7 linked regions of the Canis lupus familiaris genome follow. The protein of the gene in region 2 binds, or shares a complex with, the protein of the main gene of each other region. Links are inferred from orthologs where the notes say so. Each region holds a gene or a part of one and is shown on either strand. Other genes may lie near its edges. The genes, in order: CRNKL1, PPIL2, CWC15, EFTUD2, CWC22, CRIPT and SNIP1.

Region 1 (4,612 bases), on a different chromosome or scaffold from region 2:
GTTTCTTTAAAGTCTTACACATGAAGAGAAAAATTTTAGATATAAAGAATTATTAGCAGAATTGTTGGTATTTTCTCTTCTTGCTAATAGCTAACTGACACTTTAATATACTTTATACCTTTTTAAATAAAAACCTGAAAAAAAAATATATACTTTATACTTTTTCCTAGCATGGAAATGTTCTTGACTATTTCTACTAGTCCTCTCAGTAATGTCTCAGAATTTCATACATCACTCTTTGAACATCACTAATAAGTAGATAAAACAGGCTTAGTGGTTTAAAATTATCCTACAGGTGCCTGAGCGGCTCAGGTGGTTAAGCAGCAGACTCTTGAATTTGGCTCAGGTCATGACTTCAGGGTCATAAATACAAGCCCTGTGTGGGTTTCCACACTGAGCCTAGAGCCTGCTTAAGATTCTCTCTCTCCCTCTGCCCCTCCCCCTGCTTACACGCTCTTTGTCTCTTGAAACAAACAAATAAATAAAATCTTTTTTTTTAAAGATTTTATTTATTTATTCATGAGAGAGAGAGAGAGAGAGGGAGAGACAGAGAGGGAGGCAGAGGCACAGACAGAGGGAGAAGGAGGCTCCATGCAGGGAGCCCAATGCGGGACTCAATCCTGGGTCTCCAGGATCATGCCCTGGGCTGAAGGCAGTGCTAAACTGCTGAGCCACCCAGGCTGCCCAATAAAATCTTTAAAGAAAAAAAAAAAAAAAAAATTACCCTAGAGTGAGGATTCTAGGGTGAAGAATCCAAGTCCTCTCTCAGCTCTTTTCCAGGTCTCAATTCTTACCATAAAATGTACAGAGAGAGTACATAATGTGACCTTGGTTAAGACCAGCCCCTTCCAACTGTCAGATGTTCCACTTGTTAAACTTCCATCTTTGATTCTGCACCAAAAATTATGTCTCTGGTGGACTGAATCTCTTTATACTTTAAAAGACAATTCATGGCATATTTTGTAAAGTTCAGCAAAATGCAATTATTTGGTAACCAGGAGTTACATTACTCATGTGGCTAGAAACACTAACCTATTCTTATAGCCTCTCTAACCAATGAGGAATTCTGCAAACTTTGACCTATAAAGTAATAACAATGTTATTAATAGACTGAAAATATCACCCTGACTGACCTTCCTTTTTCTTAGTTTGTAATCATTTAATTCTTCTTCATCTGTGATCTTCTGTTGAGGTGGAGGAGGAAGAAGCTCAAGTTCTCTTTCTTTAGCTTCTCTTAAGAGTTGCTCAGCAGTTATCTGTACCTCAGCTGGGGCTTTGTTTTTCACCTTTTAAGATAGAAGATATTCTCATTTTTAGTAGATGCTCATCACACAAAGTTTAGGAAGCAAAAAGACATTTTTTTAGGATGGGAACTTTGTATTATTACAAGATGCCCTCTTCATATGACAGGTTTTCATTTCTCTATGAAATTAAACAGAAAACAAAGTTTTCTTTCTTATGCATGGTATTTATTACAAAGCCATAGGTAAGTCTTCAGAGAAAAGGTAGCAAAAATAGCAAGTGTTCTCTTTTAGATTAGAATAATAATAAACCTTGAGGCTGCTCAGGTAAATTCTCACTAGAGGTGTTTTATGAAGATGTGTGCTGTATCTTTCCTAGTGTTACACTCTCTATTTACAGAACTTTTCAATTATGCCCCATGTGGATGATAATGCCTCAAACTGTGTTTGGTTGTTTTCATGGCATTTCAAATCAAAGACAGTTCAATAAATTCCCATAATTAGACAGACCATAAGTTTCTTGAAGTCTTAGAGCTGTGCTGTCCAACATAGTAGTCATGAGCTAATGCAGTGAGCCCAAATAGAGATGGACTGTAAGGGTAAAATATACACTAGATTTTGAAGACATAGTGTGAAATAAGCCAGTAAACTGCCTGATTAGATTTCCTATGTTGATTACATGTTCAATTAGCAATATATTGGATACAATGGATTAAAGAAAATATACAGTTAAAATTAATGTCACCTGTTTTGACTATTTAATGTAGCTACAGGAAAACTTAAAATTACATAATGTGGCTCACACTGTATATCTGTTGGACCACTGGTGCCCTGTAACATTTTATGGAATTGGATTATAAGAAATATTGTTTAATGCCATGTGTGGAATGACTTTGATAATAATGACTACAGCTCATATGCAGTCACAGATGCTGTGCTATGTGACTTAAACGGATATGTAAAGGACAAGCTCAAGAGAGCCACCTGGGCTGGAGAGACAGACTGGAGTGAGGGCGTCCGTAAAGGTTCAGGGTAAAGCCCGTCACACATTAAGCACTCAGTGAGTATCAGTCACCGATGGAACTATCATATAATACCAAACTTACTGTTTAATTAAATTAATGCCACTACACAACCCATGCCCTCTCATTCTTTCCAGGCTCAGGGGGCCTAACTCCTAGTCAGCCACCAGGTGTCGGCTTAAACATCACTTCCTCAGGAAAGCGGACTCGGCATACCCCTCATACAAACCCCATCACTCCGCGGCATATCCTACGCCGCCTCACTCGTATTCGGCAAGGTGGCAATTTCACATTGGCTCGTGTCATTTGTGAAAACGGCACATTGCCCGCGTTAGGTCGTAGTTCCTTCCCCAGCGCCTAGCGCGCTGCCTAAATCCTGCCGAATGACCCCACTCCTCCCTCCGCAAAAACACGCCCTAGAAAGAAGGCCGCGCCAACGCGGCGTGGGAAGGGAGCGTCTCCGGGGCGACAAAAGCCTGCGCCCCACCGCCTGCCAACCCTTCCACTCGATCCACACGGGGTAGGATGGCTCTAGGCAGTCTTCCGCCGCGGGCCCCGAGGAGGCTGGGGCAAGCCCCTCTCCGGGGCCTCCTCCCACAAAGCCCTTCGCGGTCTCCTACCTTCGCCACTTTGGGAATCCTCTGCTTCCCGGCAGCGGTGGAGGCCGCCATGGCTGCAGCACAAGACCGCGACTCAACCTGGACCCCAGAAATAGACCCCGAGGGCTGGACAGAATCCCAGGGATTTCCGACAACAAGCGAGATCCCAAAACAGGAAGCGGAAGTTGCTGGCATGACCTTTGACTTCACGCACGCGCCGTGACGCCGGCAACTTCGTTTCTGTGGTAACCGGGCTGAGCGTCCTCCTCGGAGAGCAGTGTCTCGGAGTTGCGGGAGAGGTGGGTAGTGCTGGCTCGCCCGACAGGGGCGCGGGGACGGAGTCCGGGGCGCCAGGGGCGCATCCCCAGGTCAGTCTCCGGAACTGGGAGGACTTGCGAGGATGGGTGGGTCGGTCGAACCGTGGCTCCGGGGAAGGGCAAAAGGAACAAAGCTCCGATCCGGAGGCTTGGGGTCGGGGCAGAGAGGTAGGCCAGAAAACTTCCTTTCCCAGCATGCCAAGGGGCGAGCTGCTGCGTTCCTAGGTGGCCTGGCGCCGCGTTGCGTTCTAGGTTTTGTAGTCTTGGAGGTCTCTTTTTTTTTTTTTTTTTTTTCTGGACAGTTGTGCACAAGTGAAGTAACTGAAGGCATCTTAAAGCCAAATAATAGAAAAAAATGAAAATAAATCATCAAAGTACTAGCAAATAAACCATCCTTGTGGTCAGATAAACAGATGCTTAATTTTTTGTAAATGTGCCTTAATTACATCAATTCTCTTAGCCCCATGGTGCTTAGCTGTGAGACAAAAAGAATAGTATCTATTTTATCATCATTAAGGAGAAAATCTATGTAAAGTGCTCCGTAAATGTTAGCTGGTGTAATTCTTGACCTATCTTCAAAAGAAAAAGCTAATTTTATGCAAGCAAATAGTGAAGAGAATTTTTTTTAAAAAGACTTTTTAAAATAGCAGTTTTAAGTTCACAGAAAAGTTGAATGAAGGTACAGAGAATTTCTGTTTCTCACACCTGCCGTCCCGTTTGCCCCCACAATCGATATTCCCCGTGAGAGTGGTACATTTTTGTAATTGATGAACCTACACTGACAGCTCATTATTCACAAGTTAACATTAGGGTTCACATTCTATGGAATTTAGTGACCTGTATCTACCATCATAGAATGGTAAAGAATAGTTTTTCCATCCTAAAAATCCTTTGTGCTCCATCTATTTATTCCTCCTTCTCCTTTTGCCTCCTATAACCACTGATTTTAAAAAATTTTTAGGGCTGCTTTTTTTCAGAATGTTGTGTCATTTGCATCGGTATGTAGCTTTTTTAGAGTGGTTTCTTTCACTTGTTATATGCATTTGGGCTTCCTCCCTGTCTTCGTGGTGTGATAGCTCACTGGTTAAGAAATTTTTACAATTGCAAGGCTCTTTTGGTATTCAGAAAAAATATTCATAAGTATAAATATATGTGTGTATTTTATGTATTTAAATCTATCTCCGTAAATAGTGCTATTGAGAAAACGTTAACTGAAGTCATTTGTAACCAGTATAAAAATATTTGCCATAGCTCTGTTCTACCTATGTACTTATTTAAATATTTGTAAGTTATCTCACTTTTCAAATTTTAAATAAGTTGAATGAGATTTTATATGACTGAAATAAAGTCGCCTAACAAAATAAACCAATAACTATTAAAATAAAAAAAAAATGTTTCCCTTTTGTGATGTCCCTTAAACTTGTAACTATACT
Region 2 (3,323 bases):
TGTATTGTCTTTTGTGATGGCATTGAAACATTTTTACCAGTGGTCTTAGGCCTTCTTTTGTACTTTTTGGTTTTTTTTGTTTTTGGTAACTGATACCAACGAAAACTCAACACTTTTTTTGTTGTTGGTCTTCCGAAAAATCAAAATCGAAGCTCCTTTCGAAACCAAATGAACAGACCGTGAGCTGGCTCCAGGGAAGGACATTCTCGAGACCACAACCAGATATGCTGGTGGAGTGTTGGAATGTTCCACCCTTTTAAATCCCTAAACAGTAAATATCATCCTGTGTCTTTTATTTAAATTATTTAAAGTATTTTTGTCCTTGAAGAATGGGGAGGGGATGCCAGGACCATAAATGCATTTAACTTAAAACTATGTAGTGTTTTCTGGCGCAGCACATCTGCTTTAGAAGCGTGGTTTAGTTTTGTTGCCGTTTTATATCTACATATATATATAGTATTTTTGTACCTTAACACTTATTCTTGATGGCATCTGTCAGATACTAGGCGAGATCAGACATGGGAATTTTTCCAAAAGTCCTTTAATTTACCTGGTGACCTCACCAGGTACTTACAAAATCTGAGTGGTTTTAATATCTAGAAAACTAAATTCCAGAACAACCTACAGAAATGTAAACCCTTGTTTGTCAAAGACCCTTGGGTGGATCTGCAGCCAGGGTGGCCCGGGCCTGCCTGGGGCCAGGTGAGTGTGGCCACTGGGCGCAGCTGGAGGGACGGACAGATGGACAGCAGTCCGAAGGTTTGCCCCTTTGAGCAGGACTGCCAAGCTCACGTGCACAAGCCTCCTTCAGCCTCCATGTCCAGCCCTCCGTCCTCTGTGTCTGTGTGAGGTTGAACAATAAAGCTTCCAATGTCAGACCTGTCCTTCTCAGTCGCACGTCCTGTCCCGGGCACTCTGCTCTCGGCCGACAGCCCCGGCTTCCTGCTGGGAGTGTTGGGTCAGGGTCTCCGAGCTCCTGTGGTGGCTCTGGTCTGGTCACCTGGGCTCCCCCTCCCCCAAAGGCTGCAGGGGAAGCCTTCTGGGACACCCCCTCTCCAGGGCCTCTGCCCGCACCCAGAGCCACCAGCAACTACTTGGTGGCCTGCAAGTGTGTTCACTTGGCTGTCACCACACGCAGCCCTCTCCTCCTGGGTGAACCCGGATCTTGGAGGCATTTTGGGCACAGACACTGGGACACAAGCGTTTCACCAGCTATCAGATGTCTGGATGTAGCCGGGAGGGGTCGTGATGAGGTTGTGAAGAAGAGGGCCAGGCCTGGCCATGGGCACAGAGGGCTGAGTGGTCACCGTAGAGCCCCAGGCCCTGGCTGCACTCACAGGCAGGGTATGCAGAGGGCACGGTGCGTGGGGGGCACAGACCTTGTTCTCACACGGAGGCGAGCCACTGACTGCTGGGAAGCAAAATGCCAACAGGCTGACGAGCTCTGGGAAGGTGACCCAGATGGCATCTGTGTGGGTGTGTGCAAGGGACTTGAACAGAGGCAGGTGAGACAAGGCGTGGGTCTGGGGTTTCAGCATCCAAGATGGGAAAAAGCAGAGCCCAGGTAAATTCTGGAGCCACTACTGACACTCACTGATGGATCTGAGGTTTGGGCGAGGGGAAGAACCGGGGACAGAGCCTCAGAACGATAGTGTGACAAGCTGGAGGGGGTTGTGGCCTATGCTGACTCGAGGACTAGGTCTTGGGAGTGGGGGTGAGGGGTGGACAGCTATCCCCACGCTCCTGTAGAGGTGCTTTGGGAAGGCCGAGGTAGTGGTGTCAGTGTCGAGAACGTGGAAGCCACGCAGGCACACGCTCCAGAATGAACAGTTAGTGAGAAAGGGCAGGCAAGCAAGTGCTAAGTTTTTTTTTTAAGACATAGAAAAATAAAAAGGGAAGGGATTTTTTAAGTCCAGAAACGCTGGTGAGGCTGGTCTGGAAGCCCTAGTGCTAGGGCAAGGGGTCAAGTGTTTGAGCCAAGGAGGGACCCTGAGGGTGGAAGGGGGGTCACGCCAGCTGGGCAGGGCCTTCGGCGCATCCATCAGTAGCAGCAGGAACCGGAGAGCTGCTCCACGGGCGCTCCTGTGCCTGTCCTGAGGCAGAGAGGCAGGAAGTCCTGGGTGCAGCCCGCACCTGGGCTGGCCAGAGCAGGCCCACGGGGAACATGGCTGTGACCACCCAGAGTCCCTGCTGGGTGGGTGGCCAGGCCCCAGTGAGTCCAGGCAAGAGGCAGCAGAAGAGGTTTTAGAAACTAATGGCAAGGCTCCCATGCAGGGTCCTCAAGCCACTGGCAGCGAGAGCCCCCCAAGGTGTGTCAGCAGAGCGCAGAGCCTGCCCCGAGTCCCCAGATCGGAAGGTCCGGGGTTTGCGATTCTGTGTGTGTAACCAGGTCCCAGGTGATACACTGAGTACAGTCCCTGAGACGACGACAGCCGGGGTGGGGGAGGGTGGGAAAGCCAGAGTCGGGGGCCCTCCTCGCCCACACTGCTGGCTGGTCTGCGGGCCACAGGAAGGGGGCCTCAGGCAACAAGCAAGAGCTTTAGCGAGGTGTCGTCAGACGGGCAGGTGACGAGGCAGGAAACACGGGGTTGTGGACACAGGCCCCCGGCCCCCAGTCCCCCCCGGGGATCCAGAGGGGCAGACCTGCTGCTACCATGAGCTGAAGTCCCCAAAGCCTCGGCTGGGCTTCTTCTTGGCCACAGGCACAGCTGTACTGGTTGAGGGCTCTTCCTCTGCTACACGTTTCCTGGAAAGAGAAGGATCAGTTCCTCGAGCTGGAGGCCCACGCCCGCCCACGCCCTCCCACGCCCTCCCACAGCACCTGCTGCATGTGACGTCACAGCCACGCAGTCCCCACCCAAGTCCTCAATCTCCAGCCTGCACGGTGGCCCCCAGGACACCTGCTCACTGCTCAGCCCCGAAGCCTGGTGCTCCCCCGCCACTGGCACATTGTGGCCTGTGGGCCTTGGGAAGCCTGGAGAGCACCGTGCAAACGGCCAGCCCCGCGCTGCACTCACGTGGCTGCTGGGTTGATGTACTTGCCCACCCCCTGGCGGTACGTCTGGGGCCCCTGGCTCCCCGGCTTGGGCTGGCGGGTTTTCACTGTGCTTTCCGGGGCCGCTGCCTCCTCAAGCTGTGTCCTCTTCCGCTCCTCGGCAATCTGCGGTGGAGCAGGGCAAACAGGTGGCCCTGAGCCCGCAGGCCAGGCCAGTTCCCCGGGGCCCCCGCCCCCCTTCCCCGGTGGCAGCCTCACCTGAGCGTCAGCCTCCTCATATGGGTCCACAAACACGGTGGTGGAGTCGATGCGGATCTCCTCCTAGCAG
Region 3 (4,583 bases), on a different chromosome or scaffold from region 2:
AATAACTTTGGTAGTATTCGGGACTACAAAAAAAATAAATAAATAAAGGAGGGCGACACGATGGTATTTGAATGTTGGGGGTGTGGGGAAGAAAATGAAGATGTCAGGGAAAGCCTCACTGATGCAGTGACATTTGAGCTGAGGCTTGAAGGAGGTTAACACGGTTATCTTGAGGCACAGGCAAGAGAAAACCCAGTGCAAAGGAAATCTTATCCTTTGTGAAACAGAAATGCCCTGTTGGCTGTGGCTGGAGTTCAATATGTAAAAGAACGTCTGATTAAAAGTGAAGTCAGGCAGATAGGCGGGAACCAGACCCCTTGGGTTCTCAGGTCACATTAAAGAATTTGACCTTTATTCTAAGTGCAGTGGGGTTTTTAGGCAGAAGAGTAACACTACCTGATCCATAACTTTCAAAGATCACTCTCACTGCTATCTGCAAAATTAACCGTATGTAGGGCCAGAGTGGAAGCAGGAAGGTCCATTAGGGAGCAATTATAATGCAGGTGAAAAATCCCAGTGGCTTGAACTAGGGTAGTGGCAGGGGAATGAAATTTTGGGTATCATACTTTAAAAGTAAAATGGACAAGTCTTGGAAATAAACTATATGTGAGGAGTCAAGTAAAAGGGATTTAATCAGGAGCCTTGAGGTTTTGGTTTAATAAGTGGTACCTGGCAGTGTCCTTTACTGAGACGTACAAAACTAGGGGAGAAACACCATCCCTAAGAGAAAAATTTTTTATCTTGACCTTCAGAAAGGAAGGGGCTGCTTCTACTTTTTAAAAGAATTTACAGGTTTCAAAGGAAGAGTTCTGGAAATAAAGCTTTTTAATGCTCGATTTTATGAGCTGTTTATATTTGACACCAAGTTGGAGATGCTGAATTTTCATCTGTCTAATATTTATTGAGCATCTACTGTGGCCAAAGACCATGTGATGAGATACCAAGATGGACTAAACAAACGAGCTCCCTGCTCCCAGTGCTTTTTGGAAAAGGGAGAACGGACGACTGGCGTTCGTTGTCTCATTAAAAGTTCCCCCAACGCCCGAGTAGCCATCTTCCAGGAACTGCATCTCGCGCTCCTGGCAGTTGGGCCCAGCGTTCCAAACGCTCATCATCGGGCTAATAAGTGAATCTCTAATAGTGACATCTCCCCTCCCGCTAGAACTCAGGCTTTTTTAAAAAAAAATGGAAATGTTAACAAACAATACGAATACAACCTTTGCCTTGAAGACTAGTATTTTTGCAGGAATGGTACCTTTATAAAGATCGTGGTTGCCCCCGTACATATTTGTTCTTTCTTCATATCCAATTAAATGAAAACACTAGTTTTTCCGCAGCCCACTCTAGGCTGGCTGGGTCTAGCTCAGGAGAGAGGAAGCCGGAGCCGTTGGCTTTAAACACTTGGGTGTAATCCTTCTCTACGCTCCCTCCCGCTAGCCGGGGACTCGCGGTCCGCTACCCGGGGCTTTCCGTCCACGCAGCGGCGGAACGAAGGAGGCTGGGAGGGGGTCGGGGAAGGGAAGGACGCGAGAGACATTAAGTAATTGGCTCTTGAAGGTATAAAACGATGTTTCGGGTCTACTCGAAAGCACGGATTTCAAACGCCCGCCCCCTGGGCCGTTTCGGCCCCGCCCCCCGCCGTCATCACGCCGACCTCCACCCCGCCTGCTGCCGATTGGTCTCCGCCTCGGCCTCGGAAGTGCGGCTGAAGAGCCGGGGTTTGCTTCCGGGTCGTGGGGCTCGGGCCCGGTCCTGGGCGCGGAGGCTGCTGGGAGGTGAGAGTCGTCATGGTGTCTGTGTGACTTGCGGAGGCTGTCGCGTTAGACCTTGGTCGACGTGTGCCGCGGGAGGGTAGCAGGTTGTCCGTCCCGCGCGGGTGGGGCGGGGAAGGCCGGCAGCGGCCGGAGTCGGCGGTAGCGGGCCGGGCGTGGGCGCAGGGGCCGCGGCGGGGGCGGGGGCGGGGGCGGGCGGCGGCCGCGGAGCGCGCAGCGTGAAGGCAGTAGGCGGGCGGCGGTAGCGGGGTCCACACCCCTTCCTCCCCCGAACCCCCTGCGAGTCGGGCCTCGGGGTGAAGAGCCAGCGAGCCTCTGGTAACAGCCCGAAGGCCAGCCCCCGGGAGGCGGGAGTGACCGAAATCCGGGAGTGTGCGGGCGGCGGCGGCGCCCCCAGCGGCAGGAAACCCGGGCTCTCTCGGCGCAGATCCCTTTTCCCTTTTTAAAAAATCGAGGGACGTACACTCAGTGCCCGCCTCCCCCACCCCGGTTCCCCGCACCTGGCTTTTCGGACGCTCGACGGGACTTGAGTAGCCACGTCTGCTAGGCACCCCTCTTGGCAGCCCCAAGCCAGAAGTAACGGAAGGGGTCCCCGAGTTTTGTTTATCGGAATCCTTTGGTGGTGACTTTCCTTTCATGAGCATCGTCACCTACAAAAATCTGCTTTGTATTCTAATCGTTGCTATAGAAGAAAGTTGGACCGACAAAAGGTTGTTGGAGAATCCTGCCCGTGTAACTGTCCTTAAAGTTTAGCCTACTTTACTCCAGGACACTCCGTAACCTTGTCGGTGATTTTAAAACAACCTGGTTTTGTAGTTAGTAGCCTGTTTTCTGTTGTATGAGGTTAAGTGCAAACCTTAGGGCATCTGGTGGACTAGGGTTAAGCTGAGAATTTTTTTTTTAAGATTTTATTTATTTATTCATGACAGAGAGAGAGAGACACAGAGGCAGACAGGCAGAGGGAGAAGCAGGCTCCATGGATCAGGCCCTGGGCGGAAGGCGGCACTAAACCACTGAGCCACCTGGGCTGCCCATAAAGCTGAGAATTTTTAAAACTCAGTGTTGGCAGTACTAAATTTTGCAAGGCTTTGACATTTCAATTCCTTTTTTTTTTTTTTTTTTGACATTTCAATTCTAATAATAACCCTGTGGGGGACATTGCCCATTCCTCAGAACTTGGAGCTGGATGACTTGCCCAGGGCCCCAGATACAGAAGGAGAACAGGAACACCAACTCCCATCTTCATGAGAGAATTTTTTGCCCTAAATAAGAGTTGCCTAAGAAGCTATATTCCTTATATACCCTGAGCTTCATTATGTGTTTTCTTGAGAACTTTTGTTTGAGATTATTAATTTTGGAGAATGAATTCTGGAAATTATTTCACAAGGATGAATATTATTAATATCTTATGAAATGAGAATATATCATATTGGAAATAACTTGATACAGTTTTTCTTTAAAGCATAAAAGATGACAACAGCAGCTAGGCCAACTTTTGAACCTGCAAGAGGTGGGAGAGGAAAAGGAGAAGGTGATTTGAGCCAACTCTCAAAGCAGTATTCAAGTAGAGACCTACCTTCTCATACAAAGATAAAATATAGGTAATGAAGACTTTTTATTTTCTTGTTCAGAAGACAAGACTAAATCTGTTAAATGGCATGCTCATGAGATTCTAGCGTGTTTGGGGTATATCACTAACCTATTTTCATAGGGATAGAATGCAATAGAGTGTTTAACATTAAAACTGTGCTCTGATTATTAAAACACTACCATGTACTACTTATGCAGAAATCCCTATTAATTGGGAATTTCCGTATGTAGATGGCTCAATAGCAGTGACCTCAGGGCCCATCCACTATCAGCACTACTCAGTGTGAGGTGAAAAGTGTCAGACTAATGAGCCCTGAATTGATGTACTAACAAAAAGTAAAGACATTTTAATTACTCCCCAGCCTTATGGGAAAATATGTGACTCAGTTTGGGCTTTCTGAAACGTTGGAAACATTACAAGAATGCCTGTTAGTGACCTTCAGATTAGGGTAATGATCTCATTTAGTTCCTTGAACTTGAGGACAAAGTGGCTTTTTGCGAACTGTCTTCCCCTGCTACAGCCATGTATCTTTTTAGTAATATTTTCACCAAATTGTTTCTGCTTTAGACAAACTACTCAGGATGCCCCTGAAGAGGTTCGCAACCGTGACTTCAGGAGGGAGCTGGAAGAGAGAGAGAGAGCTGCTGCAAGAGAAAAAAACAGAGACCGTCCAACAAGAGGTACCAACACTGCCCCCAGATATTTGTCATCATGAAATTATGTTGACAATGGTTTTTCTTTCATGGCTAATTGGAGCTGATTAATATTTTTTGTTTGCTTGCTTTAAAATGTTGGCGTAAACAATATAAAGTATTGTTTGCTTTAAGATTGGTAACACTTTCTTAAGTGATTAGATTAGAGTTGACTCCAGTTCCATCTCTTTGTGCTTCCTTAGCAGAAGGAACAGGATGATCTGGGGATATCTGGCAGTTCTTGTTTCAGTTTACGTAAAGGTTTTTGTCTTAAGATTTATTTGAGAGAGAGCACATGTGCATGAGCAGGGGGAAGGGCAGAGGGAGAGATAATCTCAAGCAGGTGGGCCTCAATCCCAGGACCCCAAGATCATGATCTGAGCCAAAATCAACAGTCAGATGCTCTACAGACTGAGCCACGTAGGCACTCCTAAAGGTTTTGACTGTTTACAGCAACGAGACTTTTTAAGGCTTCGTGTTTTCTCTATGTGAGGGTCTCCTGTTTTTGTCACTGGGTTTTGGAAGGCA
Region 4 (3,895 bases), on a different chromosome or scaffold from region 2:
AGCTCAGTCTAGGGGCGCCTGTGTGACTCAGTCGGTTGAATGTCTGACTCTTGGTTTTGGGTCAAGTCATGATCTCAGGGTCATGAGCTCAAGCCCTGCGTGAGGCTCTGTGCTCAGTGGGGAGTCTCTTGAGATGTTTTCTCTCCCTCTTACTCTGTTCTCCCCCCCCCCCCCCCGTGCTCGTCCGCGTGCTCTCTCTCTCAAATAAATAAATCTTATTTTAAAAAAAATGAAAGCTCCGTCTAATGGAATGGGGCTCTGCATTTTTATGTTTCATGCCAACCTGTACATCACTTCTTTTTTTCTCCCCTAGAACCTATTATTAAGCCAGTGAAAACCAAGAAATTCACTCTGATGGAGCAGACGTTACCTGTCACGGTGTATGAAATGGAGTAAGTTATAAGGTCTCAGTGTGGGTTCATTTTTCTGTGGAGGTAGGAGGTAGTTTATGGTTGAAGTACCTAGTAAATTGTAAAAGTAAAAATCCTCTCCTACAATTTGCCAGAATTTTCCTTGAGCATACATGTTTGCTGGAATGTGTAGAGTCCATCTTAACTTTTCTCCTGCCTCTCCTTCAGATCTCAGCCTTTTCTCTTCCAATTCTTTAGTTGGGTATTAGAAGCTGGCCTTTGAGACAGAACTGGGGATTGTAATCATCAATGTTGGGGCAACCAGAGCCTATTTTGACTTGGTGAGAATGCTGTTTGGGGAATATAACAACTCTTTATTATGGAAAGGAAATATTCTACATGTGTAGAGTACTTTAGATTCTTTGTACTGCAGACTTTCTGAAAATATTTTCATTGATGAAATGCACTTGTAAGGTCCTCATATATTGAAGTGCTTAGAACTCATTTATTAGATAATGAAACTTTTCTTTGTTTTAAACATGTTGAAATCTACTGTGTCTAAAAGAGTGGGATCTGGGCAGCCCGGGTGGCTCAGCGGTTTAGCGCCACCTTCAGTCCAGGGTCTGATCCTGGAGACCCGGGATCGAGTCCCACGTCTGGCTCCCTGCATGGAGCCTGCTTCTCCTTCTACCTGTCTGTGTGTGTGTGTGTGTGTGTGTGTGTGTGTGTCTCATGAATAAATAAATAAAATCTATTAAAAAAAAAAAAAAGAGGGTCCCGGGGTGGCTCAGCGGTTTGACGCCTGCCTTTGGCCCAGGGTGTGATCCTGGAGACCTGAGATCGAGTCCCACATTGGGCTCCTGGCATGGGGCCTGCTTCTCCCCCTGCCTGCCTCTGTCTGTCTGTCTCTCTTTGTTTTGAAGAATGAATGAATGAATGAATGAATGAATGAATGAATGAAATTAAAAAAAATAAAAGAGTGGGATCCCTTCTGAAATGGTCAGCCCACCTGCCAACATTCAGCCATTTTTGAAAAACTTTTCAATTATCTTTAGAACTTGCTTCAGATTCCTGTGTGTTCTCAGTGGTGGTTTTTAAAATCTCCAATCTTTTAAAGTGGGCTTGATATTTCAAAGAGTCAAAGTCCTCTGAATTAATGTGGTAAGCAAGAAAGTGCCGTTCTGATCAAGATGGAACTCCTCAGCATCATTAATGAGATGGAGTTTTCTCAAAAGTTTTGTTAACTAGCTCTAAGGGCAATTTCTTTCTTTCTTTTTTTTTTCTTTCTAAGGGCAATTTCAAAGGAGAAGCTGGGGTGCCTGAGTAGCTCAGTCGGTTAAGCGTCTGACTCTTGATTTCAGCTTGGTTCACAGTCTCAGGGTCATGGGGATTGGGCCCCACATCAGGCTCTGCACTCAGCCTGGAGTCTGCTTGTCTCTTTCCCCCTGCATCCCCCTCCCCTCTCTGCTCGCTCATGCTTGCTCTCTCTCGCTCTCTCTCTAAAATAAATTTTAGGGATGCCTAGGTGGCTTAGCAGTTGAGCGCCCGCCTTTAGCTCAGGGCATGATCCCACGGTCCCGGGTTCAAGTCTCACATCGGGCTCCTTGCATGGAGCCTGCTTCTCCCTCTGCCAGTGTCTCTGTCTCTCCTTGTCTCTCATGAATAAATAAAATATTTTTTAAAAAATTTATTTTTAATCTTTAAAAAAATAAAAGGGAAACTCTCAAAGTGATTTTAAATCCCCTTTGCATCAATGAAATAAATGTGTGGTATCTAATCTGAGGATTTTGAAAGGGACAGTGCTGGTGTATGTGCGTGCATGTGTCCTTATATTTGGTTTTGCCTTTCTTGCTTACTTTTGAAATCTCATGATTTTGCTCTTGAAACCCATTTCATGGGTTGTGTCATGTCATGGATAAGTCTGTTCCATTTCCAGAGCCAAACCCATATAGATGTAGAAATTCACATCTGCCTCTGAGCATTCTCCAGTTGGTCTGAAAATTGTTCCTGACAAAATTCATGAAACACTTTTGTACCACTTCCCATTTGGAAGCTTTTGCCAAAGTCCCTTTTCTCTTTTCCTTTCTCCTTTCAGCTTCTTGGCAGATCTGATGGATAATTCAGAGCTCATCAGAAATGTAACCCTCTGTGGCCATCTCCACCATGGCAAGGTGAGAGAACTTTCAGCTACTTGGAACACGATTTCTCTTAGTTTCTGCTCATTTATTCAGGCCTCAGAGTCACAGTTGGGGTTTGAGGCCATCATGATGGACCTCTGATAATGGGGGACCTCCATGCTTAGTGTGAAACTGTGCTATGAAATTCTAGCTTTTCCTGAACAGTGGATGGAGCCTGTTTCTAAGCCACTTGCAGCCTTGTGTCTACATCTGTACAGAAGAGGAGAAATTGAGCCTTACTCTCATTTTATAAGTTTTCATTTCCTGGGGGAATGCTTGTCCAAGAAAGATTTCATCTTTCATTTGAAGATAATCCTATGGCTTCAGTGGCTTCAGTATTAATCCCTTGCTGTCCCATAATCCTCCTTGCTCTCCTCTTCCTCTCTTTATCCCTAAATTAGGTGGTGTTTTGGGCACTGAGGGAAGGGTAGAGTAGATTTTCCTTTGTGCTTGGCACATCTTAACCTTCTCTTCTCTTTCAGACGTGTTTCGTAGATTGTTTAATAGAGCAGACTCACCCGGAAATCAGGAAGCGCTATGACCAAGATGTAAGTAGAAATTCTGTGGAAGGTTTAGGATGAACCATTCAGAATATACAGGGGTGTCGCTCTCCTTCCCCTTCCTTCTCACTCTCATTATAAATAATGACGCCTACAAAGCGCTGCTTTATAATTGTAATCTCTATTCATAGCCTTAAAGAAAGTAATTTTAACTTTCTTAGGAGACTAGAGAATATTAACCTGCAGTATTTTTGGATGATCTGTTCTGCACTTGGGATCTTTCCTCTGTTCTGATATATCCTGACTTTTATAGCCTATTCTTTCCTGTCATGGTATTAATAGCCTACTCTATAAATATAATACAATTGGACCTTGTTGTTTTCTGTGATAAATTTAAATGCCTGTGAATGAGGCCAAATGTGGCTGCAGGTCTCAGCGCAATAAATGTTCCATGTCTGCTAGATTGAGTGTTTTGACGTGTGGGGGGTTCCATAAAGGCTGGATGTGTCTCCCTTTACTACTTTAGGATTCAGTGCATTTGATAGAATTTAGCTCTCTCCAGCCATACCTGGTCCTCAGGGACCACCCTGACCCCCTCCTACCCAACCCCCCTCCAAAAAAAAAAACATCCATCCGGGAGCATTTTCTATCTGAGAGGGCCTTGGTTTTTCTGTAGGATACCCTTCTGTCTTCCATCTAACCTCCTGAGACAGAAACCCTTGGGTTGGGAGCTGGTGGGGGAAAGTGATTGATGGTTTGTATGGGAGAGGAGTCTGGAGTCAGGTGGTAACAGCACTTCATTTTTTTTTTTTTCCAAGCTATGTTACACTGACATCCTCTTCACAGAGCAGGAGGTAAGTGTGCCTGG
Region 5 (3,895 bases), on a different chromosome or scaffold from region 2:
GTAGGTTAATATATGTGAAAGCATTTTCTCTATTCCATATGTCTTCATTCTATTTAAGGCACATGAAGTTTTATGCCTAGAGATGCTCACTTTGCTCCTGGAAAGACCAACAGATGATAGTGTTGAAGTAGCTATTGGTTTCCTCAAGGAATGTGGCCTCAAATTAACACAAGTGTCACCAAGAGGAATCAATGGTAAGTATATACCTTTGGTTTGACATTGAGCTTTATTTGAGTATTACAATATTTTTTGCTTATTTTATTGGTTTTTTTTCTTTCACTTTCACTTTAGCTATATTTGAGCGCCTCCGAAACATTCTTCATGAGTCTGAAATTGACAAAAGAGTTCAGTATATGATTGAAGTGATGTTTGCTGTACGGAAGGATGGATTCAAGGACCACCCTGTTATCCTAGAGGGACTGGACTTAGTGGAAGAAGATGATCAATTCACCCATATGCTCCCTCTGGAGGATGACTATAATCCAGAAGATGTTCTTAGTGAGTTGGATGGTGGGGGGCAGAGGGAGTTGGGAAGTAGGACACCATAAATGTAAATATAGAAAATAAATAATTTTTAACTTATTTTTTCAAGATGTTTTCAAGATGGATCCTAATTTTATGGAGAATGAAGAGAAGTACAAAGCTATTAAGAAAGGTATGTAGAGTTTTATAATCTATTTTGGATAAGTAGAAGCAATTTGTGTAGTTCTATTAATACTAATAGAAAGGTTTAGATTATTGACCTAATGAAATCTCTGCTCTTAGGAAGCCATTCTCCTCACTATTTTCCCATGCATCATTTTTCTGTCTAGTGCTGTTTGTGGTCTACTTCATTCTAAATTATTTACCTTATTATCCCTGTCCTCTTTCCCTCTATTCAAATCATACAGACCTTACTTAAATCTCTTTCCTCTTAAGAAATGTCCATATAGGGGTTCCTGAGTGGCTGGCTCAGTTGATTGAGCATCCAACTCTTGGTTTCAGTTCTGGTTATGATCTCAAGGTCCTGAGATCAAGGTCTGCTGTGGGCTGTATGCTTAGTGAGGCATCAGCTTGAGATTCTCTTCCTCTCCTTCCCCTCTGTCTGTGCATGCTTGCTCTCTCTCTCAAATAAATCTTAAAAAATAAAGTCCCTATATTACTAGCGGCCTTTATTTTAACTTCACTACCACATAAGAATTGGCGCTTAAATTGACACCCAGTTTAATATTCAACTAGATCTTATGCTTTATGATTTCTTGAGAGTAAGTTGATATCCTGATAAAATCAATCACAATTCCAGATAGGCTATTAGTGCTCGAAAAATTAATAAATTATTATTATCATTTGTATGTCATCAGTATATTATGAGCACTAACTTTGGATAGACTTTGGTTTTTATTTTGTCTGTGCCATTACTAGCTAAGTGACCTGGAACAAATTACTTGTTTGACGTCAATGTTACTTGTTTGTTTAAGGATAAGTAAAAAATATTGTGCTTTGTATTATCACAGGGCAAGTATTTAGGTAATGCACTTTTTTTTGACATTTGTATCATTTTTCTTCTAAAGCTAATTTTCAGGGCTATCTGTATAATTATAATTTTATGGGTTTATTTCCCTTGAGTTGTGTTTTTATATGAGAAGTATTTACTGTTCTAAATGCTCTCAGGAAGAGAGAGCAGGAGCCCTAGAGCTCTGTCAATCTCCTGCATTCTGTGCTGTTGTCAGGCTTGGAAGTAGAATGAAATAGAAAGTAAGATGTAAGCAGCTTTCCATTTCTATGAATTATTATAAAAATCCCGGTTTCAATAAATAGATTACTCTCCTCAGGTGCCATTTTCCTAGGGGCATTTCATTGCAATAGCCGGATTCTTTTTGCTATTACAATTCAGTTTCTTAACATGAAGAATTCCTTAGACCCATTTTGCCTTCTTATGAACTTTCTTTACAGTATCACTCAAAGATGCTAAATGTTTTTATGAAATTTTTATCATACCTCATATGAATTTTTTTTTTTAACTTAGGAACTCCTCATCCATTTCTTTAGGATATCGGTGGTTGAACAATGCTAGGAAAGTAGTACTTTCTTTATTGTAGCACTTCTTAAGCTCTTTGAACTTAACTTCCCTTTATACTCTAGAAAAGTATTTAAGACTTCAAAGAGCTTTTTTGTTTTGTGGGTTACATCTGTTGACATTTACTTTATTAGAAATTAAAACTGATAATATTAAAAATACTATATCATTTCAAAATTACAGAAACTTAGTGTTCATATTATAAGTTATATACTTTTATGAAAATAACTACTTTGTGAAACAAATTTAAGAAAAATGGCCTGTTTTATATTTTATACAATTTAATGTCTGACTTAATAGGAAATCGATTTTCATATTGTTTGTGATTTCAGTCTATTGCAGTAGGTTGTTTTGATTGAAGTATAGAAGAAAATAGGTAATATGAGGTTGGAAAAGAGATCAGTATTTTAATAGCCTTTTCAGATAATGTGTATGTTTTTCCTTAGTACTCTGCCAGTATTTAAAGGCTAATCGTTTCTTAAAGATTAAGTGGAATGTGAAACCTGAAACAATATTCATGAATCTTCATATTCTAATTCATTAAATTCCATTGGCCTCTCACTTTGAATGGATCTTTTACCCATGCATGATTTTCCAACATGTTCAATTGGTCATTTAGAAAATGCCCATTCACCCAGTTATGCATGTCTTCTAGGTGTTAACATGTTAACATTATCAAAATTAAATGAACACATTAACACAATATCAAGAAATCACATTTATTAGTATCACCTTAGAGAAGTTTAAGTATTGGAAAGCTGTCAAGCTCGGAGGAATGGATACCACTTCTCTAATTTTCTCCTGAGAGCTCTAATTTTATCATGGTAGTAAATACTGTTAATTATTTTCCCTGAAGTGACATTCTCACTTTGTATTTGGGAAAATGTCTGCCAAATACCTAACAACTATAGTGTGTCAGTCATTCTCTCAAGTAAAAAGAAAAACAGCACTGATTCACCTTGCAAGTCAAAGAGTTTCACAAGTGCTTTTCTTTGAGATAACCATCACGTGACAGTGTGCATCTGTCTTTAACAGAAGGGCTGTGTACGAATTCATCTTTTGCTACTCAGATGATTATACATGCTTACATATCGGGGTGAGATTCAGTGAAGTTAGCAGTTCTCTACTTCTTCCTCAAGGACATTATCAAGTCAAACTGGCTCTTTTCCCACCTCTGAGAGTATGGCAGTAAAGAGCACAGTGATGGCTGGTGCACTTTGGTGCCTTGATTCGTGCTCTGGTTGCAGCAGCTTCAACCCTCATTGCTTTTGGACCTTTGTAGATGGCAGCACAAAGAAAGGCAGATAATGTCTGGGTATTGTTATGAAAATAGTTGTGACCTCACAAATCACCTGGCAGGTGTCACTGATCCCCCAGGGGGATCAGACTATATACCTTGAAACCACTGCTTCATTCTGTTAATGAAATCCAGTTGTCATTGCCTAAGTAATTTCAGTAAGTAGATTCTCAAGTGGAGAGATGAGGAGAGGATGATGTAAACGACTAGACAATTCATTTGACCTTCATTCTTTCATGAAATGTTCTTCTAGAACTGGCATAAAAAAAAATGGCCACAGCAGGAAGTGGGCACAGCTTTAGTAATTAGCACCTTAGAGTGACCCAGGTGCACTTGAGTTTTAGGTCTTACAGCATTTGGGAAAACAGCAGGAGTGCCTGTCTTCCTACTATTGAATACTAAATAGTTTCCTCTCTTAAAAGTCTGTCTAAGCCACATTATGTAATAGGAAACTAGACACTTTAGATTATTTCTTGAAGTCACATTTGTCAGAAATATTCTTGGGATTTGTGTGTCAGCTAAGGTTTGAATGACAACTCTTC
Region 6 (4,681 bases), on a different chromosome or scaffold from region 2:
TTTTCCCCAGTGGCCTTCACATGCATGCAGGACAGTTTAAGGAGAGAAGAGGCAAAAGCAGAGAGAGCACAGTTTGAAGAGAAAGGAGCTGGGAGGGGATCACATTAGTTTAACTCAAGAGTGATGGGGACCTCAGGTAGGTTATTTAAGGGGTAAATGAGAGGCTAGGGAAAATATGAGCTATTGAATGGAAGTAACAATAGCAGGACAGGCAAGTGTTTGGATGCAGGTTGACAAAGGGATACCAGAACGAATGAGCGATGAATAAGGCTTTATGAATGGGTGACTGGGAGGACTGCCATGCCATTAAATGATGGAAGAGAAGTTACAGATTTATAAAGTAGGATGACAAATTCAGTCTTGGAAGTACTATACTACTATGTAACAACCAGATGAAGGGTCCCAGTATTGTCTGGAGAAATTTCTTCTATTGGTCTTGGTATAGAGAGAAGTCGGCTGGAGATGTGGATTAGACATTCACTGGCATGGATAAACTACTTGAAGCCAGATATTTCCAAAACAAAGAGTCAAAAGAAGGGCAGATGTCGATCACTGGGAAATATCTACTTTAAGGGAGAGGGAGAATAAGAAAACTTGGAGATTATAATGGTAAAGAAGAAGAGAAGTAAATTCAAAGAGAATCTAGATCAAGTTTCAAAGTCACAGAGAAGCAGAAAGGGACTGAAAGAAAGGTCTTTGAATTAAGAGTCTATTTTTATTTGGGGAATAAGATGGTACAGAAGGTAGAAAGGTACTAGAGCAAAGAAATAATACAGACTTTCAGAAGTGCAGAGAAGTAAAAAGCAAATGACCTTTATGACATATATCACGTCCCAGAGCCAAACTATGTGTATTTTAACATCACATCCGATCTTGGCTTCTCAAAATTTTTATGTGCCTTAGGAAATTACCTCTCAGAATTTGCCCAGTATCCTCAATTTTCCTGGGAAAAAAGCACTTATGGTGTAAAGAACATCACACAAAACAAGTTAAGCCCGTCAGAATGCCAGGCCTCTAAAGTTAAAATGTACCGAATTAACACAAATTACAAAGAAGGCTAATTTACATGTTTAGGAACTACCCTACATAAGAGAAAAGACATGGAGAAGGTGCATAACCTAAATATATGTAAGACATAGTTACTCAAACAAGCAAAACCAAAAAACCTCATAAGTATTGGATGGAGTAGAGTTAAAAGGACGTCAATGTCAAACAGCTTAATGTACTTTTTGGAGCAATGAAAATATTCTAAAATTGATTGTGGTGATGGTCGCACAACCCTGTGAATACGCTAAAAATAACAGAATGGCACATTTTAAATGGGTGACTTCTACCTATGCCAATTGGTAGAACTGCAATAATTTTTTAAAAGCTTCATGTGAGATGATGATGTAAAGCATAGAAAAATGAAAATATCAGTCCCACTCTACTCCTCATAAAATGGAGCAGAGTTTAATGCTGAGTGCCACATACTGGGAGTTATGATAGGAATAACCAGTTTTTGAGTATACACTAAGGCACTTTTATATCAGGCTTTACCTGCATTATCTAATTCTCACAAAACCCCATAAATTATGTATTATTCTCATTTTTCAGAGGAGAAAACTGGAGCCAAGAAATATTAGGTAATTCACCATGGTTATTCCTTTACATAATGTAAAACCTGTGATTCAAACTCATGGGTGCCTGTGTTTAAAGGTTTATCTACTGGGGGGGAGGGGAGAATATAAACAGAATTGATCAAGTTAATGTTAATCCAGATAAGAGGACTTGAAATCTTGTTAAGAAAAGTCTAGCCTGAGGAAAAAGAGACTTAGGGATATGAGAGCCGTTTTAAAACATATAGACAGTCTGTGACATCAAAGAAATCCTAAGATACTTTCCAGAAACATCAAGGGTTTGCATTAGAATCACTGCCTGGCAACTGTAGGGATGAAGGATCTTTTCTTTTCTTCTTTCTTTCTTTCTTTCTTTCTTTCTTCTTTTTTTCTTTTCTTTTCAGATTTTATTTATTTATTCATGAGAGACACACAGAGAGAGCCGTAGAGACACAGGCAGAGGGAGAAGCAGACTCCATGCGGGGAGCCCGATGTGGGACCCCAGGTCACGCCCCGGGCTGAAGGTGACACTAAACCGCTGGGCCACCCGGGCTGCCCAAGAAGGAACTTTCTAAAAGCCAGTGGCATCTACGCAGACTGTTTTGAAGGTAGTGAGGCTTTCTGAACCCTGCCTCAAGACCTCAGATATTCATGCAAAGAACATTTAAGTCAACATTTAAGGATGCTAACTTCGGGTTGCTCGTTAAAATACAGGATGCCCTGTTCAATTTAAATTTCAAATAAACAATGAATGGTGTTTTAGTATTGTCATGTCCTAAAGGTAAGCCCAAAGCACTTTCAGTACTAAGAAGCTGCGAGCAAAGACAAGTCTCAAATATCGCATGGGATATACTTCTAAAAAAAGTATTCATTTTTAAAATGTCTGCTATATCTGGAAACTCTGGGTGTTGTAAAAATGACTTTTAAGATCCATTCCAATGCTGAGGGTCTGTGAGGCTAAGGAGCCAGTCAAGAGCTGTATGGGATGAAATCCCGGGGTGGGGCTGGGGGAGGCAAAGGAAATAGACAAATCAGTACAAAACTGAGAACACTCCGAATGCAAAACCAATGGGAACGGTGAAAGGGATAAAGGACAAAGGCTGGAATCAGAGACTTGTGGCCGAAAGAAAAGACAAAGAAAAGGCGAAGTCCCCGGAGAACTCCTGCTAGCTTCTCCTGGCCTCCTCCCAAAGAGTCAGCCCCTTAACTCACATTTTTCGCACACCATCCTTCCCCGACGGTTCCCCCGGCCGCAGAAACAGCAGCAGCTCGAGAATGTCAACACAACAGCCGGGGCAGACGTCCCCTTCCGGGTTACGAAAATCCGCTTCCGGCCGCCCCGCCCTCCGCCCCGCCCACCGCCCCGCCCACCCCACACCTGAGAGGCCGTGGGAGGCGGGGCTTCTCCCATTGCCCGCCCCTCCGCTCCTGCAATTGGCTGTGCCGCCTTGGGTCTCCGCCCCACAGGCTTGCGCCTGCGCGTTGGCCAGGGCGGCGAGTCGTACCTGATGGTGGGAGGTGGTAGCTCGCGCTCCTCTTCCGCTGGCGGGAGAGTTAGGTAAGCCCAGCGGCGCCCGCCCGGCACGCGAGCCTCCCGGGGTGCCAGCGGCCCCCACCCACTGCCCACGTGGCCGCGAGCGTCTGTGCCCCCGGCCCGCTGGCGCCCGCCGCCCGCCCGAGGGCCACCCTTCCGGCGTGACCCGGGGGCAGCCCCGATGGACCCGGCCCTCGGATCCGTCCCTGTGTGTGGCGCCCTCCGTTCGTCTCGGTCTCCGCGCCCGTGCCCTTTTGCTTATGCCTCTCAGCGCGGCCCCGCCCCCGTTCACACTGGCGCGGGGTGAGGCTCGGGCAGAGTCCCGAGCGGCCGAGGTTGGCGGGGGGCTGCAGGGGCAGGTGCCGCGGGTTGCGCGGGTAAGCTCCGCAGCCTCCGGGGCGGTGGGCGCGGGCCGGGTCCGACCGCGGGGGCGGGGGCGGGGGCGCGGGCGCTGGCCGCCGGGGTGTGCTCGCCAGGGCCCACCCCCGCGGCTGCTTTCGCGGGGGGGCAGACCTTTGGCCCACCCTCTTCTCCTCGTTCGTTCGTTCATTCATTCAGTAAGCAGTTGGGTGCTGCTCCGTGTATTAGAGCCTCATCTGCCCATATCACTTGGGATTCTGAGAGCGGCCCAGAAACATACCCGAAGGGATAGTCCGCTCAGACGGTGTATTCCGGATCCTGCGCCCCTGCCCCTTGGTCAGCGGATCTGCCAGAGAGGTTTCCTTCCTCCCTTCTTGCTCTTCATCCCCTTCTCGGCCCCTGGAGTGTAGATTTATGTCAAAGAGGCGAGGGTTTGACGTGGCTATAGTGCTTGGGAGCTTGGGACCTTGGACATGTCTCCCAACGTGCCTTAGCCTGTTTCCTTATCAGTAGAATATTTGCCTTGGAAAATTATAATGTGAACTAGATCAGAGCTGTAAAGATAAGGCCTTGACTTGCCCTTTTGTTTTTCTGGAATATTCAACCACAGTGTAACATGGGTAACATGTGGACTGTTACTTTGATATTAGCCAGTACTATGTATAAGCTCTGCGTTAGGTAATTTATAAATAAACATATATGTTATACATACCACGATGTGTATTTTATAGAGAGAAAGAAAGATTTTTCTTCTACTTATGCCCTACTTTTGATTGGAACCTAGCACCTGTAACGGACATTGTCATTTCGGTATTTCTGGAGCATTGGGATCCCTTAGTTTAGCATAATGTTCTTTGGCCTTTCCTGATTACACTGGCCACCATTTGAGTCCTGAAGTGTGCACTTGGTATTGCTTGTCATTTGCCAGAAGAGGTGAACTACTGTGATGTTAGACAAGGGTCCCTAGTGGTTACAAAGAAGAAAAAAAAGCAGTTTAGTCAGAGTGTATCCATGGATCGGAGAACGCATAGCTTATATTTCCAACCAGAGCAAATCATTAATCTCTGCGTGTTTGTTTTCACCGTTGTGATTTCGACAAAAAAGAGAAAGAAAAAGAAAAGGAAACGAACCCCTTAATTGGTCTTAGTACATGACCCTTTTACAGAAACTGGTTACAAATATTTAAGAA
Region 7 (4,655 bases), on a different chromosome or scaffold from region 2:
GGGCTGCTGGGGGCTGACCTTCAGTGGCCGTGCCTGAGGAGGAGGGACAAGTTTGGGCAGGAGGTGACGCAGACGGTGACCTGCACACACCCAACCCCCACCCCCACCCCCACCCCCCGGCTTGCTCCAGGTCTTCTGAAGAGCGCTCCCCTCTTCGCAGCTCACTTGCCCCTTCTCTCTTCTCAGCATAAGTTAGGTCTCAGCTGAAGGTGGAGAGAGCCTGCGGTCCCACCCCCGGCCCAAGGTCTGTATCTCCTGGAACCGCTGCTGCAGGCGCAGGTGCTCAGCGGCCTGGGGATGGAGCGAGCGCGACCGGACCAGTGTGCAGGACAGCGAGCCCCATGCACCCCGGGGCTTGCTTCCTCACCCTACACCAGCCCTCCGGGTGCCCCCCGGGTGCCCCCCGCCCCTCGGAGCCTCCGGGCTCCCCCGCCCCCCAGGCCCGCCCTGACCTTGGGGCTCCGCTTCTCCGTGTTCCGGCTCACCAGCACCGGGGTGTCGTACTTGAGCAGAGAGTCCGCAGGGGGGATCATGGCGGCGACGCGGGTTCGAGTCCGGCGGCCGCCCCTCCAGCGTGCTCCTTGTTTGCCGTCACCATGGAAACCCCCCGGCCCCCCCGCCGCGCCTCGTGGCCTGGGCGGGGCTTCGGATGGGGCGGGGCCAGCAGCGCAGAGTTCCCGCTCAGCCTCGCCAGGAATTCTCCTCCCGCTCGGTTGATCGCGGTTCCTGCCCCGCGGGTCGCCTTGATGCTCCTGGAAAACCACGCCAAACGGGAACGGAGTCCCCACGCTGCGGCTCGCAGGCCATTGCAACGAGGCGCACGGTCACCTTCGCTGGCCGCCAACTTTGTCACCTGCAGAATGGGAGCCCTGTGACTCCTCGGTGGAGGCTTGGGAATCTGCAGATTCCCAGAGGGAGGCACCTGCAGCTCCCCGGTTTCTTTTTTTTTTTTAATTTTATTTATTCATGAGAGAGAGAGAGAGAGGCAGGGACACAGGCAGAGGGAGAAGCAGGCTCCACGCAGGGAGCCCGACGTGGGACTTGATCCGGGGTCTCCAGGGTCACGCCCTGGGTCAAAGGCAGGCGCTAACCGCTGAGCCACCCGGGGATTCCCGGAGCTCCCTGGTTTTCTTTTTAAAAATTAAAAATAATTTTTTTGCTCCCCAGTTTTAAAAAGTATTTGTGTTGGGGCGAGGGGCACCTGGCTGGTTCAGTCAGTAGAGGGTGAGACGTCGATATGGGGGTGGGGAGTTCCAGCCCCACCGCTGGCTCTAGAAAGGACTTGAAAATAAAAAGTAAAAAAAAATAAATAAAAAAAAGTAAAAAAGTAAATAAATTAAGAATTCATTTTTTAAATTAAATGGAGAAGTGACAACATAACACGAAGCTCAGGACTAGCAGGGAAGATAGTAATGACTTGCCCCCACCCCCCCGGGGGGCTGTCAGTGATTGCATTTCCTTCTCTGTTTCCTCTTTTTTTTTAAATATTTTGTTTATTTATGAGAGACACAGGCAGAGGGAGAAGCAGGCTCCACGCAGGGAGCCCGACGTGGGACTCGATCCCGAATCTCCAGGATCCAGCCCCGGGCTGCAGGCGGCGCTAAACAACCGCTGAGCCACCCGGGCTGCCCAGAAGCGTCTCTTTGACGTTTAAAACTCCCGCCACCCGAGCGGCTCCCGACAGCCCCTCCCGCTTGCAGGGTCGTGGTCACGTGCTTCGCTCGCCGCCGCAAGGGTTTCTGGGAGAGCGCGCACCCGGAAGCGGAAGTGCGGGGGGTCAAGCCCGTCGTTTCCTTTAGCGAGAGGAGCGCAACGGATCTCTCTCTCTCTCTTTTTTTTTTTTTGTTTGTTTTGTTTTGTTTCCCTCCCCCGCTTCGCTCTCTGCTCGTATCTCAGCATGAAGGAGGTAAAGAGCGAGCGGGAGCGGGGCACCCGGCGGAGGCACCGCGACGGGGACGTGGTGGCGGCGGCGATGGTGGTGAAGGTGAAGCAGGAGCGCCTGAGCCCGGAAGCCGCGCCGCCCGCCCACCGCCGCCCCGAGTCCTCGGGCGGGAGCGCGTCCCCGCCGGCCGGCGACCCGGGCCGCCCTGGGCACCGCGGGAGCCGAGCCCGAGGAGGCAGCCGGTAAGTGGGGGAGGCGCCCGGGATGGGGACTTGGAGGAGGGGCGGGGCTGGCGTCAGAGCCCCGTTTTGGGAGCCGAGCGCGGCTGCTCGGGTTTCATGTCAAAGGGGGTGGGGGGGGGGTGAGCCGGTGGCGCTGTGCGGGAGAGCGTTTACGGCGGCCCCTGCCTGATGCGCAGGATCCCGCCCCCCTCATCCCTGCGCCCCGCATCTGCCCGGACACCGCGCATATGGACCCGAAATAAAGGCTCCTCCGCATCTGCCCGCACATGGGCTGCCGGCCTACTAGGCCTTCCAGACGTCTGCCCCAGAAGCCCTCCGCCTTGGCAGCCCAGGCGATCCACCTGGTAGGCAGTTGGAAGAAAAACCATCTCTTGCTGGACTGCTCCGTGTATTCCTTCGACTTAAGTTGTGAGCGCGTTGCTAAAGGAAGAAAGACAGCCGTCGCTCCTGGGGCCTCGTGCGGCCTTTGCCCCGGCGAAATGGAATGGGTGTGCTCCCGCCTCGAGACAGAGTAACAAGGCCGATAAAATAGTTTCCGTATGTAACAAGTATTAAGAAGCGGCTCCAACCGGAGGTGTGAGAGCGAGCCTTGGAAGGAAGCGAGAGAAGGAAGGCCCCTCTGAAAACGTGCGGTTTGCGTTGAGACCCGAACGATAAGGATTGTCCAGGCTGGGGAAACCCATGTGCGCAAAGAAGCTGAAGCCCGGTTAATGTGATTGTTCTAGAAGTGGGAGTGCGGGGTGGGGGTGGAGAGGGGTCGTTTAGGGATCAACGGAGGGGAGAGAGGCGATCTAGAGCCGGAGGACTGACTCGCTGTCGGATTGACGTGGTTGTTGCCGGAGAGTGTCGGGAGCTATTGCTGGGGAAAGGAAAGGGGAGTCACGGGGGGTTCTCTGGGTTTTTTGGGCTTGAGAAGCAGGGTGGATGGTGATACCCGTTACTGAGATGGCAGAGGCTGAGGGAGGAAAGGGCTTTGAGGGGTTGGGAAGCAAGAGTCAGGCTCTCAGAATGCTCCAGAGGCAGCTCTGTGTGTGTGTGTGTGGGGGGGGGGGGGGGTCTGAAGCTCAAGGAGGGTGTCCCGGGCTGGAGAGCGGAGCTCCCCGCCTTCCTTGGTGTGAAAAGCAGAGCCCTTCACTGGATGTGCTGTTTGTATTGTTAGTAAGTAAGCCTGACACTTGACTGTGAGTGTATATGGGGGAAGGGAAATTGAGATAAAATCCTGTGTGTACCCTGCTCCAAAAAGGTCCCCAGCCAAGAGGAAAAACAAGTCCTCAGGGAGAAGAAGCAAGTCTCCTCGGAGTAAGAGAAGCCGAAGCCCTCACCACTCGACAGTCAAAGTGAAGCAGGTAAGCGGACCGAGATGTTTTGATACCAGGTCCAAATCTAGAATCTCTTACCGTCCTGACAAATACATGATCCTAGGTGTTTACCTTTATCCGTAGCGGGTGTTTCTAGAAACTGGGTTGTTGTTGTTTTTCTACTTGTTTTGTGACACCTTTTTAAAAAAATTTTGAGAATTGTTGATTTACACACTCAGCTGTTTTAAAAAATAAAAAATACAGAGGTACGTTCTTCACTGTGTTTTTCCCACTGGTAGCATCTTACAGAATTCCAGTGCAGTATCACCGGGAGGGTATTGACATCGTGACAGTTAAGATGCGAACATTTCCATCCCCACAAGGACCCATTGGGTTGTCCTTGGATAGTCTCACCCGCCTGTCTCTCATCCTTAACCCCTCAAGTCCTGGCAACTTCTAATCTGCTCTCTGTCTCTATAACGGTTGTCACTTCAAGAACATTATGTAAATGGAATCATGTAAATGGAATCATCCGTCTAACCTTTAGGGATTGGCTTTTTTCACTCAGCACATTTCTTTGGAGATTCATTCAGCTTGTCTTTGTCAGTATTTGATTCCTTTTTTATTGCTGAGTGATACTCAGTGGTGTGGTTTTAACCCTTTACCCATTAAAGGACAAGTGAGTTGTTACCAGTTTTTGGTTATTGTGTATATAAGGTTGCTGTGTAACATTTGTATACAGGTTTTTGTGTGAACACGTCTTCAGTTTTCTGGGATAAGTGCCCAGGTGTGCCATTGTTAAATGGCATGGTGATTGCATGCCAGACTGTGTTCCAGGAGGGCTGTGTTGGTTTTCTAGGGCTTCCATAACCAAATACCACAGACTGGATACCTTAAACAACAAAAATTAATTTTCTCACAATTCTGGAGGCTAAAGTCCAAGGTCAAGGTGTTAGGAGGTTTTGTTTCTCCTGACGCCTCTTTCCTTGGTTTTCGAATGGCTACCTTCTTGGCTGGGTCCTCACATGGCCTCTCCTCTGTGGGCTTGCATCCCTGGTGTCTCTTCCTCTTCAGATAAGGACACCAGTCATATTGGATTAGGGCTTTGCTGTCAACTTAATCATGTCTTTAAAGACCTTATCTCAAAAAAAGAAAAAAAAAAAAGAAACCAAAAACGGATGCCTGGCTGTCTCCGTTGGTAGAGCAGTTGGCTCTTAATCCTTAATCAGGGTT

What was found.
Region 1: PPIL2 (region 2) and CRNKL1 share a complex: the UniProt entries of both Homo sapiens proteins name them as parts of the minor spliceosome. The link is inferred for Canis lupus familiaris from reciprocal best matches to the Homo sapiens genes PPIL2 and CRNKL1.
Region 3: PPIL2 (region 2) and CWC15 share a complex: the UniProt entries of both Homo sapiens proteins name them as parts of the minor spliceosome. The link is inferred for Canis lupus familiaris from reciprocal best matches to the Homo sapiens genes PPIL2 and CWC15.
Region 4: PPIL2 (region 2) and EFTUD2 share a complex: the UniProt entries of both Homo sapiens proteins name them as parts of the minor spliceosome. The link is inferred for Canis lupus familiaris from reciprocal best matches to the Homo sapiens genes PPIL2 and EFTUD2.
Region 5: PPIL2 (region 2) and CWC22 share a complex: the UniProt entries of both Homo sapiens proteins name them as parts of the minor spliceosome. The link is inferred for Canis lupus familiaris from reciprocal best matches to the Homo sapiens genes PPIL2 and CWC22.
Region 6: PPIL2 (region 2) and CRIPT share a complex: the UniProt entries of both Homo sapiens proteins name them as parts of the minor spliceosome. The link is inferred for Canis lupus familiaris from reciprocal best matches to the Homo sapiens genes PPIL2 and CRIPT.
Region 7: PPIL2 (region 2) and SNIP1 share a complex: the UniProt entries of both Homo sapiens proteins name them as parts of the minor spliceosome. The link is inferred for Canis lupus familiaris from reciprocal best matches to the Homo sapiens genes PPIL2 and SNIP1.

Annotation. Positions count from the first base shown.
Region 1 is NC_049245.1:3,678,243-3,682,854, reverse strand, and holds the start of CRNKL1 (crooked neck-like protein 1), read right to left. Parts: upstream 3,062-4,612; 5' UTR 3,058-3,061; coding exon 2,884-3,057; intron 1,287-2,883; coding exon 1,134-1,286; intron 1-1,133. UniProt on the Homo sapiens protein: Involved in pre-mRNA splicing process. As a component of the minor spliceosome, involved in the splicing of U12-type introns in pre-mRNAs.
Region 2 is NC_049247.1:31,132,009-31,135,331, reverse strand, and holds the end of PPIL2 (RING-type E3 ubiquitin-protein ligase PPIL2), read right to left. Parts: intron 3,317-3,323; coding exon 3,254-3,316; intron 3,161-3,253; coding exon 3,018-3,160; intron 2,908-3,017; coding exon 2,901-2,907; intron 2,747-2,900; coding exon of another isoform or gene 2,736-2,746; coding exon 2,520-2,735; 3' UTR 523-2,519; downstream 1-522. UniProt on the Homo sapiens protein: Has a ubiquitin-protein ligase activity acting as an E3 ubiquitin protein ligase or as an ubiquitin-ubiquitin ligase promoting elongation of ubiquitin chains on substrates.
Region 3 is NC_049242.1:6,114,812-6,119,394, forward strand, and holds the start of CWC15 (spliceosome-associated protein CWC15 homolog), read left to right. Parts: upstream 1-1,644; 5' UTR 1,645-1,775; exon of another isoform or gene 1,776-1,858; intron 1,859-1,973; exon of another isoform or gene 1,974-2,090; intron 2,091-3,221; exon of another isoform or gene 3,222-3,234; 5' UTR 3,235-3,242; coding exon 3,243-3,373; intron 3,374-3,930; coding exon 3,931-4,043; intron 4,044-4,583. UniProt on the Homo sapiens protein: Involved in pre-mRNA splicing as component of the spliceosome. Component of the PRP19-CDC5L complex that forms an integral part of the spliceosome and is required for activating pre-mRNA splicing.
Region 4 is NC_049230.1:18,486,005-18,489,899, forward strand, and holds part of EFTUD2 (116 kDa U5 small nuclear ribonucleoprotein component), read left to right. Parts: intron 1-313; coding exon 314-392; intron 393-2,445; coding exon 2,446-2,521; intron 2,522-3,009; coding exon 3,010-3,075; intron 3,076-3,845; coding exon 3,846-3,881; intron 3,882-3,895. UniProt on the Homo sapiens protein: Required for pre-mRNA splicing as component of the spliceosome, including pre-catalytic, catalytic and post-catalytic spliceosomal complexes. Component of the U5 snRNP and the U4/U6-U5 tri-snRNP complex, a building block of the spliceosome.
Region 5 is NC_049257.1:23,718,167-23,722,061, reverse strand, and holds part of CWC22 (pre-mRNA-splicing factor CWC22 homolog), read left to right. Parts: intron 1-58; coding exon 59-194; intron 195-291; coding exon 292-498; intron 499-592; coding exon 593-655; intron 656-3,895. UniProt on the Homo sapiens protein: Required for pre-mRNA splicing as component of the spliceosome. As a component of the minor spliceosome, involved in the splicing of U12-type introns in pre-mRNAs. Promotes exon-junction complex (EJC) assembly.
Region 6 is NC_049231.1:49,890,683-49,895,363, reverse strand, and holds the start of CRIPT (cysteine-rich PDZ-binding protein), read right to left. Parts: upstream 2,937-4,681; 5' UTR 2,827-2,936; coding exon 2,811-2,826; intron 1-2,810. UniProt on the Homo sapiens protein: As a component of the minor spliceosome, involved in the splicing of U12-type introns in pre-mRNAs. Involved in the cytoskeletal anchoring of DLG4 in excitatory synapses.
Region 7 is NC_049236.1:4,998,662-5,003,316, forward strand, and holds the start of SNIP1 (smad nuclear-interacting protein 1), read left to right. Parts: upstream 1-1,762; 5' UTR 1,763-1,897; coding exon 1,898-2,124; intron 2,125-2,264; exon of another isoform or gene 2,265-2,805; coding exon of another isoform or gene 2,806-2,807; intron 2,808-3,367; coding exon 3,368-3,470; intron 3,471-4,655. Other genes in the region: DNALI1 (axonemal dynein light intermediate polypeptide 1), read right to left, coding at 1-33, 453-533. UniProt on the Homo sapiens protein: Required for pre-mRNA splicing as component of the spliceosome. As a component of the minor spliceosome, involved in the splicing of U12-type introns in pre-mRNAs. Down-regulates NF-kappa-B signaling by competing with RELA for CREBBP/EP300 binding.